Caenorhabditis elegans: one gene and its partner. The protein of the gene in region 1 interacts with the protein of each later gene in a pairwise test. Each region holds a gene or a part of one and is shown on either strand. Other genes may lie near its edges.

What was found. The genes of interacting proteins can lie anywhere in the genome.
Region 2: the proteins of ceh-22 (region 1) and znf-207 interact in a two-hybrid assay, tested with the Caenorhabditis elegans proteins (one large-scale study listed by BioGRID).

What each region holds. Positions count from the first base shown.
Region 1 is NC_003283.11:10,669,264-10,676,747, forward strand, and holds ceh-22 (Homeobox domain-containing protein), read left to right. Parts: upstream 1-3,370; coding exon 3,371-3,582; exon of another isoform or gene 3,583-3,660; intron 3,661-3,717; coding exon 3,718-3,810; intron 3,811-4,607; coding exon of another isoform or gene 4,608-4,630; coding exon 4,631-4,716; intron 4,717-4,968; exon of another isoform or gene 4,969-5,047; coding exon of another isoform or gene 5,048-5,081; coding exon 5,082-5,177; intron 5,178-5,235; coding exon 5,236-5,332; intron 5,333-5,386; coding exon 5,387-5,623; intron 5,624-5,704; coding exon 5,705-5,815; intron 5,816-5,921; coding exon 5,922-6,129; downstream 6,130-7,484. Other genes in the region: twk-12 (TWiK family of potassium channels protein 12), read left to right, coding at 1-153, 202-471, 552-721, 769-962, 1,301-1,399, 1,449-1,512. UniProt on the Caenorhabditis elegans protein: Involved in combinatorial activation of gene expression in pharyngeal muscle. Specifically binds a site necessary for activity of the B subelement of myo-2 enhancer.
Region 2 is NC_003282.8:11,307,254-11,313,881, forward strand, and holds znf-207 (BED-type domain-containing protein), read left to right. Parts: upstream 1-3,718; 5' UTR 3,719-3,746; coding exon 3,747-3,787; intron 3,788-3,839; coding exon 3,840-3,966; intron 3,967-4,023; coding exon 4,024-4,249; intron 4,250-4,298; coding exon 4,299-4,613; intron 4,614-4,665; coding exon 4,666-4,805; coding exon of another isoform or gene 4,806-4,853; exon of another isoform or gene 4,854-4,886; intron 4,887-4,906; coding exon 4,907-5,083; 3' UTR 5,084-5,265; downstream 5,266-6,628. Other genes in the region: DnaJ homolog dnj-2, read right to left, coding at 5,461-5,646, 5,693-5,891, 5,941-6,038, 6,086-6,284, 6,329-6,542, 6,606-6,628.

The sequences.
Region 1 (7,484 bases):
AATCTAAGTTGGAAGATAGTGATGATGAATCAGATAGTGAAGAAGCACTTGAGGAGTTTGATTCTCCGCAGATTGCAACAGTAACTGCAAATGATCTAATAGTTTGTTCAAATGGAGCAGCAACTAGAAGAGTTAGCAAACAAAGTTATGCATGTAAGTTTATACAATTTTTGATTCACTTTTATTTTTGTTATTTTCAAGTATCTGATATCTCCAACCTTTCAAATTCGAAAATTCTGCCTGGAAATAACTACGGCCAACTACTAGATCGCATAAAGGCAATGGAAAAATTTAAGCCAAAAAAGAACGATCTTGATTCAAGGATGTTTGCAAAGTTTTTGGAAAACAAGAAGTTGGCTAAGATTTTAGAACAAACCGAGTTAAGAGAGCTGGCAACAGTATCTTGTCAAACCGATCTCAGTGGATTGGTTGTCCAAAGAAGAAATCCAAAAGGAAGACATGCAAGAATTGGTAGGTTTCTCCATATTCTTTAAAGTTTTGAACTATTAAAACTGATTTTGATCACTCAAACAATAATAATATTTGAACAGGTTCATGCTCATCTCAATCCACAATGTCCACGTTGCTCCCCAATAAAATGCATGCACCGGATGAAGATTCTGTAATGTCATTCACGTTTGGAGATCTGAAATTTGATTACAAAACAGAACCATTTATTGATGAATACTACATTCGTGAATCGAATCATTCTATATTTGATGTAGGTTTCAAATAATATATTCAATCAATATCATTGTGTAAACACAGTTTGATGAAGATGAAACGGTGAGGATACCACAAAAGATGTTGATTTCAAGACCAGGAATGCCTCCACCACCTCCATCTCGTCCATTAAATCTTGCTTCACCTTTGAGAACTCTTTTAGAGAAAGAACAGAAGTATGATGAAGATCCAGAAATTCAGTTAACTCCAAGACGATTGAATTCATTATCAGATATTCAGTAAGTTCCTAAAAAATTATTCAGCCAAGATATGTTTCCTGTACCGAATAGTATAAAAATATTTCAGAATTGGAAAACTCCAAAAACCTTTTAAAAAGAAGAAGAGTATGAGCTTTCTTGAAATGTTGTTGTGTAATTTCGGTGTAACTCTAAATCCTGCTGCTTTCACAGACATTTTTTGCTTATTTCTTCTCTTACAAAAATGCAGTTTAAACTTTAAAAGATTTCAAAAAATATATTGGACACTCGCTATCACATTTGCCCACTGTATATCCATGCCAGCTATTTATTTCAATCAATGATTTTTCCACTTTGAAAGTAATATTGTGCATTTCCAGGGCTCGTAAAGTAAAACTTGGCGTGGATGAAAATCTTCAACATGCTCGCCTTGTCTGTGGTTTGTTACCTCAAGATTTTGATTCTCCATCAACTTCCACGTAATGTTTTCTCGCTGTTAAAACTCAATTGAATCACTTCAATTTTCAGGTCGACGTCAATGATAGATTCTGGATATGAACTTTCAAAACGAGATGCGTCTACAATGGCTTAATTATCACACTTTTAAAATATTGCTACTCTAAAATGTCTTTTCAACTTTTCAGTGTTTATATCCGGTTTATATGTATTACGGGTCATGTCGTGTCAATAAAATGGTAATTGTATAAGAAGTGGGCCAATAGTGTGCTCTTTTATTTGTCATGTGTCCTGGTGGCAGAAATACAGTAATTTGATGCCTACACGCAACAGTAATACTTTACTAATCTCTTTTAACTAATATGTACACACAAACTTTCATGACCTTTGTTCGTTCGTTCCCTAATCTTAGTAAAAAAGTATAGAGAAGAGGATATTGTGAATCCATTTTGTGTGTGTAGGTGGAGAAACGCACACACAAATCAGCAAGGAACAAGAAGTTGAGCAAAAAAGATTACGGTAAGTGGACAAACAGATAACGCGGCCGTATTTTTGGATCCAAAAGCCAAAATTGTTGATGAGGAAGATTGATGATGCGCAAATTAGGGAGCAGTTTTTGGAAGGTCAAAGAGAAGCCCGTCCGCACGCATCTCCCGCGTACACACCACAAATAAGGTAGTTTACTTTTCGGCGGCATCCCTTTGCGGCTGTACACAATAATCTTGTAGAAGATGATTCTAATACTTGTAATTGGATTAAGGTTAGTTGTGAATACGAGACAGTGATACTGTTCACAAGTTTTCTTTCGGGGAAATGTATATGTATATGAGTGAAGTTATGTTGAAAAATTGTCAAATTAAGTCAAAGAATTCAATGTAAAATTTTTAAGCCAAACTCTCAGTGATATTAATAGTCTTAATGTAGACAAAGCAAGTGATACAGTTACATAGTTAAGCACGACTATATGCGCTTTGTACCTACTCAAAGGGTTACTCAGAAATCGCTAGAACCTATCATAATGAGAGTTTGTTTTTTAAATACGTTAGAGCAAGATAAATTCAAGCCAAGATAATAGATTTGCCTTACAGGCAACTATTTTCTGACTGATTTCCTGAAATGTAAAAATTAATAGAAAAACTATTTAAAGCAAAGTTTTGAGCAAAATCGAATCCTAAAGTTACTGAACTACGTTCAAGCTTTCGGAGCATTAACCTAGAATAAATCCAGTGCGCGAAAGTTTGGGGGATCATTGCGAACACGAAATGAGCATAAATATATTGGGTGCTCATTTGCCGAACCACTTATAGTTCGAGCACTACACTTGATTATTGTTAGCCGAGATGCTCATACCCCAGCAAATAAATAACGTGTGCAAAAAGATAGAATTTGATCTATTATGGAAAGTTATGTATTAAGATATCGACTTTGGTACCTAATCGATTATTGTTATTAATTTGTGAAAGGAGCCTTGATGAGATTTATCTTTAACCATTAATTGCATACAATGACCACTAATTCAAATCTATTCCGCAATTGGGTCCTTGTCTTTATAAAGAATGCCAAAATGTTGTACTGGTTTCAAAAGTAAGTAGGCATAGTTTCAAGTGTAATAAAGTTTTTACATAATCTATATATTTGTCTTGATGGAAATATTTAAGTATCCGATATAAAACTAATTACACTAGTCTCAGAAGATCTTTTTTTTAATAACACAATCTTTACTAGAAATGAATTTCAAAAAAATAGGACTAAATTGTACTTTCCATTCCTCTTCACTCTACTCATCCTCACATCTCCGAGATTTGTCACAAAAGAGATGAAATTGTATACTGAGCTTACAAGAGTGCGCAGAGATATCTAAGCATACAAATCTACCGTACCGTCTTCGCTTTCTCCGCGATTTGTGGGTTGGCGAGCCAGAGGGAGCACAGGTGGGCGTGTTGCAATCAGCACAAGAGGGTCGGTTGTCAATTGCACTCGAGTCTCGAGAGCCGATGTTCAACGTGTCGGCGCTAGCAGCAGCGACGCCTTCTATCGCTTCGGTTTCATCCGTTGCAAGCCCATCGGAGCAACATGGATTGTCTACAAGTGTTGGCGTCGGAGTGAATGATACCACTTCTCGAACTGGAGATGGCGGCGCCGCTTCATCGGCTTCAAGTGCATCAGCGGCGCCACAACAGCAGTCACAATCGGCACTTCATAACAAGTAAGTGTTTTTTGAAGAGAGAAGGTCGGAGAGGAGAGGAGGCTTGTCGTCTTGAAGATGATCCACTTTATGTGAAGAGATCCCCCTCCACTCATATATTCGATTACATCCTCCACTAGTATCTGTTCATTTCAGGACGTTTCATTTCTATATCCACAACTTTTCCATTCGCGTTATTCATTTCTACTCAATTATTTCCAAGAAGTTTTTTGGCGAAAATTCCAAATCGTACGCAGTTTCTTTGAAATTTCCACAAACAAATGATATTTATGAAACAAAAATCTAATGATATTCAAACGAACAATTTAGTTTTACTTGCTTAAAATTATTTCGAATATTACATTTTCAGAAAGCAAAATTTATTCTAGTATTTTTTTATTGTCCTTCACCAATTCAATAATTGAAAAACGTATATTTCTAAACACACAAAATAAGGAAACGATATTGAGATGCGTTGTGTTCAAATTTTCCCCGATTGTTTCCTACAATGAAACGGGATGAAAATATCCTAAGAACTACTATGTATAGCTATGACGTGTTACAATAAGACATTCAAGCCTTTTAGCGTTGCAATTTTATCCGTTATGTTATGTTTTGTTGATTCGTGGTTCTGACTATCTTTAACCTTGAGACAAAATGCAACATCCACTTTCAACCATGTTCTCCCCATTTTCAAAGAAAATTTCCAATATCAGTATTAATAACAGTTGTGCTTAAATTTAAAATGTTTTCTACGAGTATAAAATCAACGAAAAGTTAATAAACCGCACAAAGCGACGTATCTTTTTTTAAAGATGCATTCATTCACCTAGAAAATGGTCAGCTCTCCTCGACCAAGCGCTTATATCAAAGCATTTTGGAAAATGTTTCACAATAAAGTTTTAACTATTTTCGGCAACTTCAAAAGGCGGTGGAGAAGTTATTTGAAACTCTTGAATCGCCGCTTCTCGTACCTTTTTGCAAATCAAAACACCGCATATCTTATATAAAAGCTTGTTTTTTGTCCGACTCCTTCACATTTCACCATGCAAACTTATGCATTTTCCAGACTCGAAGCTAAATGGGACACTCTACTTCCCACCGACACCAATTTACAATGTTCCACGTGGCCTGATAGCATTCCATTACTTGCAGGTAAGTAGATTTGAACTTCTTTTCTCGAATATCCAATAACGAATTGTTGTGTAACATGTAATGCGGGAATAAGTAACACAACACCTTCCCGTGAGAACACTATACAGTATTCGTATGTCTTTTCTGAATATAGGTGATATAGGGATACTGTATACGGTATACTGTCTCATTCTCTTATTTAAATTCGCTATTTCGTGTTTACCTAGAATCGGAAATGAATGGATGCAAGTAAACAGAAAGGGGCTTTTTCTCTGTTCTTGGCGCCGCGACTCTCTATCACGAGTCTTTTTCCTCTTCTACCTTTCTTTATTCTAAAGCCAGACAAATTATTATGCAATTAGCAAGTGAAACAAGGGTTTTCCCAGTTTCAGGATATTCTGCTACTCCCACATTTTCCTTCGATCCTTGCACATACGGCAGCTATGATCCATCTGCATATTTTGCTTCAAACGGAATTGCTGGTAAGTTTTTTCCCTATTAGAAAAATAAATGTTAAACCTACCTAACTGAATTTTGTAGGTTCCATGTACACTCTACCTGATCAATTTCCACGTTCTGAGAATGATATGCTAGATAACAGCAATACATCAAATGGAAACAAAAGCGATAAAGATGGGTGAGTTCATAATTTCAATTTAATTTTGATTCTTATTCCAACGTATATTTTCAGAATCAAACTTGAAGATGAAGATGAAATTCTGGAAGATGAAGAGAATGACGAAGAAGATGATGGAACTGGAAAACGGAAAAAGAGAAAGCGTCGCGTTTTGTTCACAAAAGCACAAACTTATGAACTTGAACGACGATTCCGCTCGCAAAAATATCTGAGCGCGCCTGAACGTGAAGCTCTTGCAATGCAAATTCGACTTACTCCGACTCAAGTAAAAATTTGGTTCCAAAATCATCGGTTAGTATTTTATGAAATTTTGATTTATTTGTGGTTACATAATGACTTTTCTATGTTCAATTATAACTTTTAAAAATTTAGATACAAAACAAAAAAAAGTCATACGGATAAGCCAATAAACGCGGCGCTTCTTACCACAATGCCCAATGCATTTTCAAGTCAATCGACAGCGGCCAGTTTTCCAACAAGAGCGTGAGTTTTATTCAAAATCAATTCATTTTTATATTTTGTGACATGGAGAAAGTTGGTTGATATCAAACAAAATTTAAAATATTAAATTGTACCTGTATATTTACAGAATGCCGATACCAATGCTAGTCCGTGACTCTTCTGCTCGTTCTTCGGACATTTCCTCAACATCTCCATACACGGTAGCATTTGGAAGTGCCAATTCAGGATACCTACCAACACCTTCCGCCTACCTCCCAGCCACTTCCGGGTATTTTTCAAACGGACCTTCAGCAGCTTCTTCCTACATGACCAATACTCAATGGTGGCCTTCTTGATTTCTCTAATACTCTATACCATGTCAATTTTTCCCAGAATACATCTCGTTTCTCACTTTTAATTGCTCATTTCTCATTATTACATATTTTCTCCGAATTGTGATCTACAAATTTATAACAACAAATCAGTTCGGACTACCGGTTTTTGAAATATTTTATCAGTTATGCCCATACACATGTTTTATGTAAATTGTGATAATTTTATTAAATGACTTAAAATTTACGTTGAAACCACATGAAAAATGTATGTTTAACTATGTATAATGCATTTAACAGACCGTCTTCTATGTACATGTTTTACGATTTGGAAGATTTCGTATCGATTACACAATTTCCAAGGAGAAAGTTCACAAAAAATTTTGCAGTTTTGAATAAAGTGGGGAGTACATTTTGATGTATGACATAGAATGTTTTTAACACGTGTGCTTATTGCCAAGTTGCATTTGAACATTTTTGTTCACCCTTCAATTAAACTTTCAACAAATTAGGAAAACGAAAATAAATTATTGATTGAGTGATTTCTTCATGGCATTCTTCATGGCATTTCAAAAAAGTCCACACAAGAACATTTTGTTGGTTTTAAATATGAATTCAGTTTGTTTTTACTGCCTTGAAAAACGAATCCTTTTGAAATGTGAGTTTTTTCCTTAAACTATTTCTATTGTCGCAAGAGTTTCTCAAAGTCATAGATAAATTTCGAACACTTATACACAGATTGTTCCGGCTCATTCAAAACCAATTCATTTAATTGCATTTCAACGCAAAACTCTATTTTCCAAATAGGCTAAACCAGAGAAAATTAATTTTATGATTAGATTGATTGCCGTAGAAAATTAAATTTGCAAATTCGTATTGCCATGACCTATGGATATATCCTTTAAAAAACGCCAGAAATATTTTTCCAACAAAATTCCATCTAATTTGAGTCTTCCCGACGTCAAGTGATTTTGAAATCTTTCTGGAAATTTTACGTCAATGTGTTTTGCTTTTTGTTAGATGAACGCCAGCCAGGTCGCATTTTCCCCAGATAATCTCTGTAAGTATTTAGTATTGAATACTCTCAATTTGATGCATTTTCAGCAAGATTTGAGATTTGGTCACTGATAATAAAAACGTGTTATTATTTCATGTTGACATCAAATTTCCCACGCACTCGTTGCCTATAATCTTCTTATTTTCCAACTTTTTCTATGCTAAATTGCTGTTTACTTGTTCCGACGTGTAGTCGTCTCAGATATTGGAGAGAAAATTTTATAAATGATACTTGACTCAAAATTACAACTTGAAAAAGGTTAGATGCTCAAATGTTTTGACTCTGCAAATATTTTGTGTTAATTCATTCTACCGTGTAAAAC
Region 2 (6,628 bases), on another chromosome or scaffold:
TGGATTCATTCACCTTTAGCTTTCTTTTCATTCACCAACAATTATTATTCAATCGGAATGGTTCTGGACAAAGCTGACGGACAGATGTTTTTTTTTGTCTCCGCACGGAACGGAGGCGCCAAGGTGACCATTTGGAGGGTGTGATTTATGAGAAAAAAGGAAAATAGAGGACACACTGGGAAAAAGGAACGAATCAAACGAATTCACATTTCACTCGTTTCACTTTCTTTTTAAATTTATCCTTTTCTAGCTCGCGGCAACAGGTTCCGTAACTACATATAATAAGTGGTTATAAAGTTTGGGTTACTGTAGCTCTAAAAAACAAACTATTTTCTTCTCATGATCGGATTTTTCCGGTATTTAAAATTCTAAGAATTCTAGTAGAATAACAGAGGCTACCATCTTGCGATTTTTTATAAGGATAAATGCATTTTTCTCAATAGTTTTTTATCTTTTTTTTTACATTAAATTTTTCCAAGTTTTGTAGGTGCTTTTTACAATGTTAAAATAAATGTTTAAAGGTTGTGTAGCCCCAGTTGGGAAAAGAAACTTCTGAACAGTAACTTCTACTTTTCACCAGCAAATATCTTTAATTGTCCAATGTGGAAACTCTGATTAACATCAAAAGGATACTGTAGTTGGTTGCCACGTCATCATGATCTCAACTGACAACTTGTGCAACTACAAACGTTCTCTTTTCAATACAATATATATATTTGTGCCATTTCCACTCCTCTGACTCATAAACTCATTTACGTGCATACGTCCGGTGAGTGCCACGTCATGGTGAACTGTTGCACATATTGGTTTTTTGTAAGAATATTCATTTTTGACGAGAGCGACGAAATTAATGATAAAAGATGGAGGACCACATGTATTGGTGAACTGAAGAAAAGGTCATTGGATTGACACTTAACGATCTGAGAATGTGGACGTTGTGTTTGTGTTTCGAAAAGATTGAACGATGTACTCAAATTGTAAGAGAAAAAAGATATGTATGAATAACTCATGACATATAAGTTTACTCTTTATTGTATTTTTAGTGTACTGTTGGTTTACTGTAGCTTTTAGGAAAGTTATTAAAATTTACTTGAGAATTATGGCTACTAGGAAAGAGAGCACAAATAGCGCTAAATTTTAATGTTATTGGAGAAACCATTGAGCCAGTGCATTGCTCAGTTTTTAACATTAAGGTAGATTTTGAAAAATCCCAATATAATAAAAATGTTTCAATTTTTCACATAAGGGGTTTTATTTTATATATTCTGGCGAACCAGAAATAGAAAATTGCTTGACTAACGCCTGTAAGGAAATTGTCAAAAACAATGGGATATACAGTGCTAAAATGACCAAATGATATAGTAAAACTTCGTTCCTGTGTATTAATTTAACTAGTACAACGTTTATATTTTAATCAGGATTTTTTTTATCTGTCTTAACATGGTAGTCGTTCGACATTGGTCTAAATTTATAGAAAAATAAAAAACATATCGAAACATTTGGCAATTTACCAAATCTTAAATATTTTGGAGTGTTTCTTTATAATATTTGGTAATACTATGTGTATTCAGACGAAACACAAACTGACGAAGAACATCACCAATTTCTTTTTGCCGGAAATACTATAAAAGCTCTAGGTAATCTAGGCGTTCACACGATTAACAATTCGTACCAAAATTAAAATAAAATAAAATGAAATAAGGCTCTACAGTATGCTCAGACATAAATTAAAAACTTTTCTAAATGCATATCAAGAAATTCCTGACCATAAATAATTTTTTAAAAAAATCAGCTCCTTTAATATATCTAAACTTCTTACATATATCTAAAGTAACTCAATAGTAGTTAAATCTTACCAAAAAAAAGTTAAAAATAATTGAAAACTCTCGCTTACCGTCCGAGTTGATTTTAATCACATCATCCTGATAAACGATTCGAAATCAATATCTTGAACTTTTGTTCCGTTTCGTTTTCAGGACGATGTCATATCTAGATCAACTCAAAATATCATAAGAATAAATAAAGAAAGCAGTAAAGTGATGTAGAATGAAACGAACAAGTGAACGGCCCTTCCCATTCTAAGAGGTCCTTTTATTGGCGCCATGTGTAATAGTGTAATAACTAAGAGACACTGAGAAACAGGTGGATGAGAAAAGGGCGCCGAACCGACTGGCTCCGCCTACTTTTCGGAAGATAATGTGCTCGTGAACGGGGAGTGGGGACGAAAAGGACGGAAGAAGAGAGGAACGGAGGACCAGATGAACGATGATGACTGCCGAATCGAAGGGAACAAAAAGGACAGATTTATATGCGAAGTGGCAGGAAAATTGAGGGGTACGATACAATATGGAAAAAAGCTAAAGAAGAAAAGAAGAAGAAGAAGCAAGGTGACGGGTGGCCAGAAAAAATAGTATGAAAAAAAGAAAATACGAATACCGTATTTCATAAATTGGAGGTAAATAACTATTTAATAGATTTTGTCTGAATGAAACTATAATACTCATAAATGAACAGTATAGCACTTTGAAATGTTTTAGATTTTCAAAAAAAAATTTGGACAAAGTTTCGGTAAATTGCTTTTTCTGAATATATAAATAATTTGAAAATAATTAGAATGGGAAAATTGTAGTTTTATTTTGTAGGGTGATATCCAAATTATGAGTGGCAAAATCTGAATTATCGTCACTTTATTTTTTTCTGCAAACTTTATTGAAAGGTTAGCAATGTACGATACTATATCGTTTTGGCACTTTTCAATATTTTTGGAAGCATTTTAACTTTTATTTCAATGGAATATGAACAATTTAAAAATAAAATTGGAAGAAACCATTTTTTTTTATCAAAAAATGATTGGTGAAAACTGTGTGTTTCAAAATTGTTAATATTCCACTTTTGAATAAGTAACATTTCAAAAAAGTTGATTAGAAAAAATTAAATTGTTACAAAAAAACGACAATTCCAAAAGTTTTGTAAGTTCCTGAAAAACAATTGCAAAATTATTAAGAGCACAAAATGCTGAAATATGCGTTTTTAAATAGTTATGTGTGTCCTTTTGTAACAACTTAATTCAAAATTAATTTTTTAAAGTGTTTGATGTGCAATACTATTATAGAATACCTTCAAGGATGCCGTCATAATAATAAAAGTAACTTTTTTGTGTTACTCAAATATAGGTTACGGTAGCTCCACGGGCATTTTAATGACAACTTACATAAAACTTCTAAACAATAAATTCGAATTATCGATCGGATTTATTTCACTCGACTTCATAAAGTTATAGAAACTAGAAGAATCATTACGACTTTAAAAAATATCCAAACGATTTGTACATATGCAATTGCAATTGTTAAGTATATATCTGATTGAACAGTCAGTTTTTTTTTTCTAATTCTGTGGTATACGTTTCAAAATTGTACATTTCCCCTTTTCATTCCTCCATTTATTGTAATAAATTTGAAAAATGTCTCTTTGTTTCGATTCAGACAAGCTATTTGCAAACCATGGTAACCGTTAACAACGGCAGTAAAATAAGAGGAAAAGTGCGCGGCGGGCTTGCAGAGGGCGTGTAACTCCTCCCCATAATTCGTGCGGGACTCTGCAAAATTGAATTTTCTTGTGCGCATGCGTTCCTTTCGAAGAAATATTTTAACTGGTTTTTACATTTTTCTCCTAATCGAGTTTTAAAATTAGTTGAATTATTCTTTTCTTCCTATTTCAGATATAAATACGTAGATTCTCCATCAGAAATGGGTAGAAAGAAGAAGAAGGTCGATAAACCATGGTGCTGGTGAGTTTTTAAAATAATTGTACTGTTCTTGAAGTTAAACTATTCAATTTAGGTATTGTAACCGAGAATTTGACGATGAAAAGATTCTGATACAACATCAAAAAGCCAAACATTTCAAATGTCATATTTGTCACAAAAAATTGTTCAGTGGTCCAGGATTATCGATTCACTGCATGCAGGTTAATTTTTTTTTGTTCTTGAAAAAAGAAGTCATTCGGTAATCCCACGAATTACAGGTACATAAAGAAACTATAGACAAAATACCGGCAGCTGTACATGGCAGAGATAATATCCACGTTGAAATTTACGGAATGCAAGGAATTCCGTCTGGCGCTTATCGTGGAGCAGCTGACGAAGAACCGGACGAAAAACGATCAAGGATGGACAATGGACCACCTATGCCAACTCCTATGCCTTTCCCACAGCATTTCCCATTTCCTGGAATGCCTCCTATGCCGTCGGGTGCGGAAAACATATTTAAGTTCCATTCTAAAAACGGTTGATTTTTTAGGTCCACCACCACCGTCAATGGCATACGGAATGCCTCCAATGCCATCTGGTATGATGCCACCTCGCGGGATGCCAGGAGCTTATCCTCCGCCACGTGGATACCCTCCAGCGCCAGCTCCTGGCGTGTATATGCCTCCGCCAGGAATGCCTGGTGCATATCCTCCACCACGTATGCCAATAGGTCATGGACCACCTGGTGGCCCACCCATGCCTGGTCCTCCTCAAAGAAGCCGATTTGATCAACCTGACGGCGGAGACAGGTGGGGTCCACCAATGCGAGGAGTACCACGGACGCCACCATATGAAAACGAGCATGGTGAGTTTATGGCATTCGTAAAAGCTTGATTTAGCAAGCTAATAAATTTCAGAACATCAAGATTATCAAGCTCCAGATGACTACAATCAAGGAGGATACGATGATCGGTTTAGAGAAGGTGATCGTGGAGGTCCACCGGGAGGTAGCCGATTTGATCAAGTGAAAGCTGAACTAAAGGAGGAAATCGTCGAGGTATATTCCTTGATTTCAAATAATGGGATTTCGATCGAGCTTTATTGATATTTCATAAAATAAAGTTAAATAAAACTTGTTTTTAATTTTAATATTTTAAGCCTAACAACGGTCCACCAACTACGTCTTCTGGTGCAGCTGCCGCTTCTGCTGCGGCAGTAGTTGCATCTAAACTTGGCTCGAGGACAAGAATAGTCTATCCAGATGATCATTCGCTGTCTCTAGAGGAGCGTCGTGTAAAAATGCTCTTCGAAAAACGCAGCAATCCCTATCACTGAGCACTTCCGAATCTCTTCTTCTTTCATGTCCCGCCCATTTACCTTATATTCTGTGTTTTACTGAAAATTGTCCTCTCGTCCATGTTAAATTATTGAATAATCCATCGATGGGTTTTTATTTTTGAAATTCCAAAAAAAAAAAGCAATTTTTATCAATTGAATAAATTATCACCCACAGTAAAAAAAGATTGAAAATGAAGAAAAAACATCAATATTGGTAAGAAAGAAGTAGATTATGCTCGCAAACTCGGAGAAACATTCGAGTTAAGTGAAAACATGAAATGCTATAAAAATTTGATGATAAAACAGCTGCATAAAGGAATAATAATTTAGAAAGAACGAGTTATAAAATGCAATAAGTAATTTTTAGTAAATATTTAATCTTCATCGACAAACGAAATAGTTCCCGCGTTTTTCATATATCTCTTATACCTTTTGTACCGACCCGATTGAGCCATTTTTTCTTGTTCCGCAGCGTCTCGTTCGGCTTTCCACGTTGCACAGTTTCGTTTCAGCCAGCATTCTCGTTCAAAAAGATCATCAATGTCTTCATCAGTGTACTTCTGAAAATTAAATTATTAACTTTTGATGATAGAAAAAAGTATTTACCTGATCGAATTCCATTTGTGAAACTCCAATGTACTTTCTAATGAGATAAAGCTTGGCGTCATCATCATATTCCTCCTTTTGAATTGCAAATCTCCAATACCAAAGTGCTGTCCATTTAATGTATCGGAATATCGTTAATGGGAAAATAATTGTGTGCCATGCGAGAGTATCGTAGATGGATTCTCGTTTGTAGCCACCCCTAAAATGTAGCTCAAATTATTTTACGAAAAATCTCAAGAATAACTGACGTGACATCAAGATTATCAATAATTATTTGCTTGATAACTTCATCATTGTCAACTCCTTTGTTCTTTTTTAATTTTCCATTCCGATCCATTTCCAGCAACTGAAAGCTAGATATTAATTACAGTGCAAGCTTAAAAATCGACCTACGCCTTTATCAATTCCATCTTTAATTGCCATATTGCGGAATTTTCCAACACCGGTTGCATATTCGATTGCTTCTGAGAACTTGTGTTTTGCAGAGAGGAATTGGAAGAGTGAAATGATAAGAATAGTTCCAACAATGACAATTCGAAGATCTACTTTTGGAGCGGCGCGAAGACGATAATATTGATAGTAATTGTAGAATCTTAAATAAAGAATATTTAAGTGTTCATATTCAGAGCGTCATACCTTTGATCAGGATGATCGAGATAATAGTCGTAATTAGTTTTTGCTTCATCATCCTTAAGTGTTTCATAAGCAGTGGCAATTACTCGGAAACGTTCTTCGGCGAGAAGCTTCTCTTCCTTATTCTTGACTCTATCTGGATGATGCTTCCTAGCCAGAGCTCTATATGCTTTAGCTAGCTTCTGCTTATCGAATTCCTCACGATTGACTTCGAGTACTGTAAATATGAATGCATTTATAGTTTTAACGTTTTCAGATCTTCATGAAAGTTTTGACTCACCATCATAACAGTTTTCTAATCCA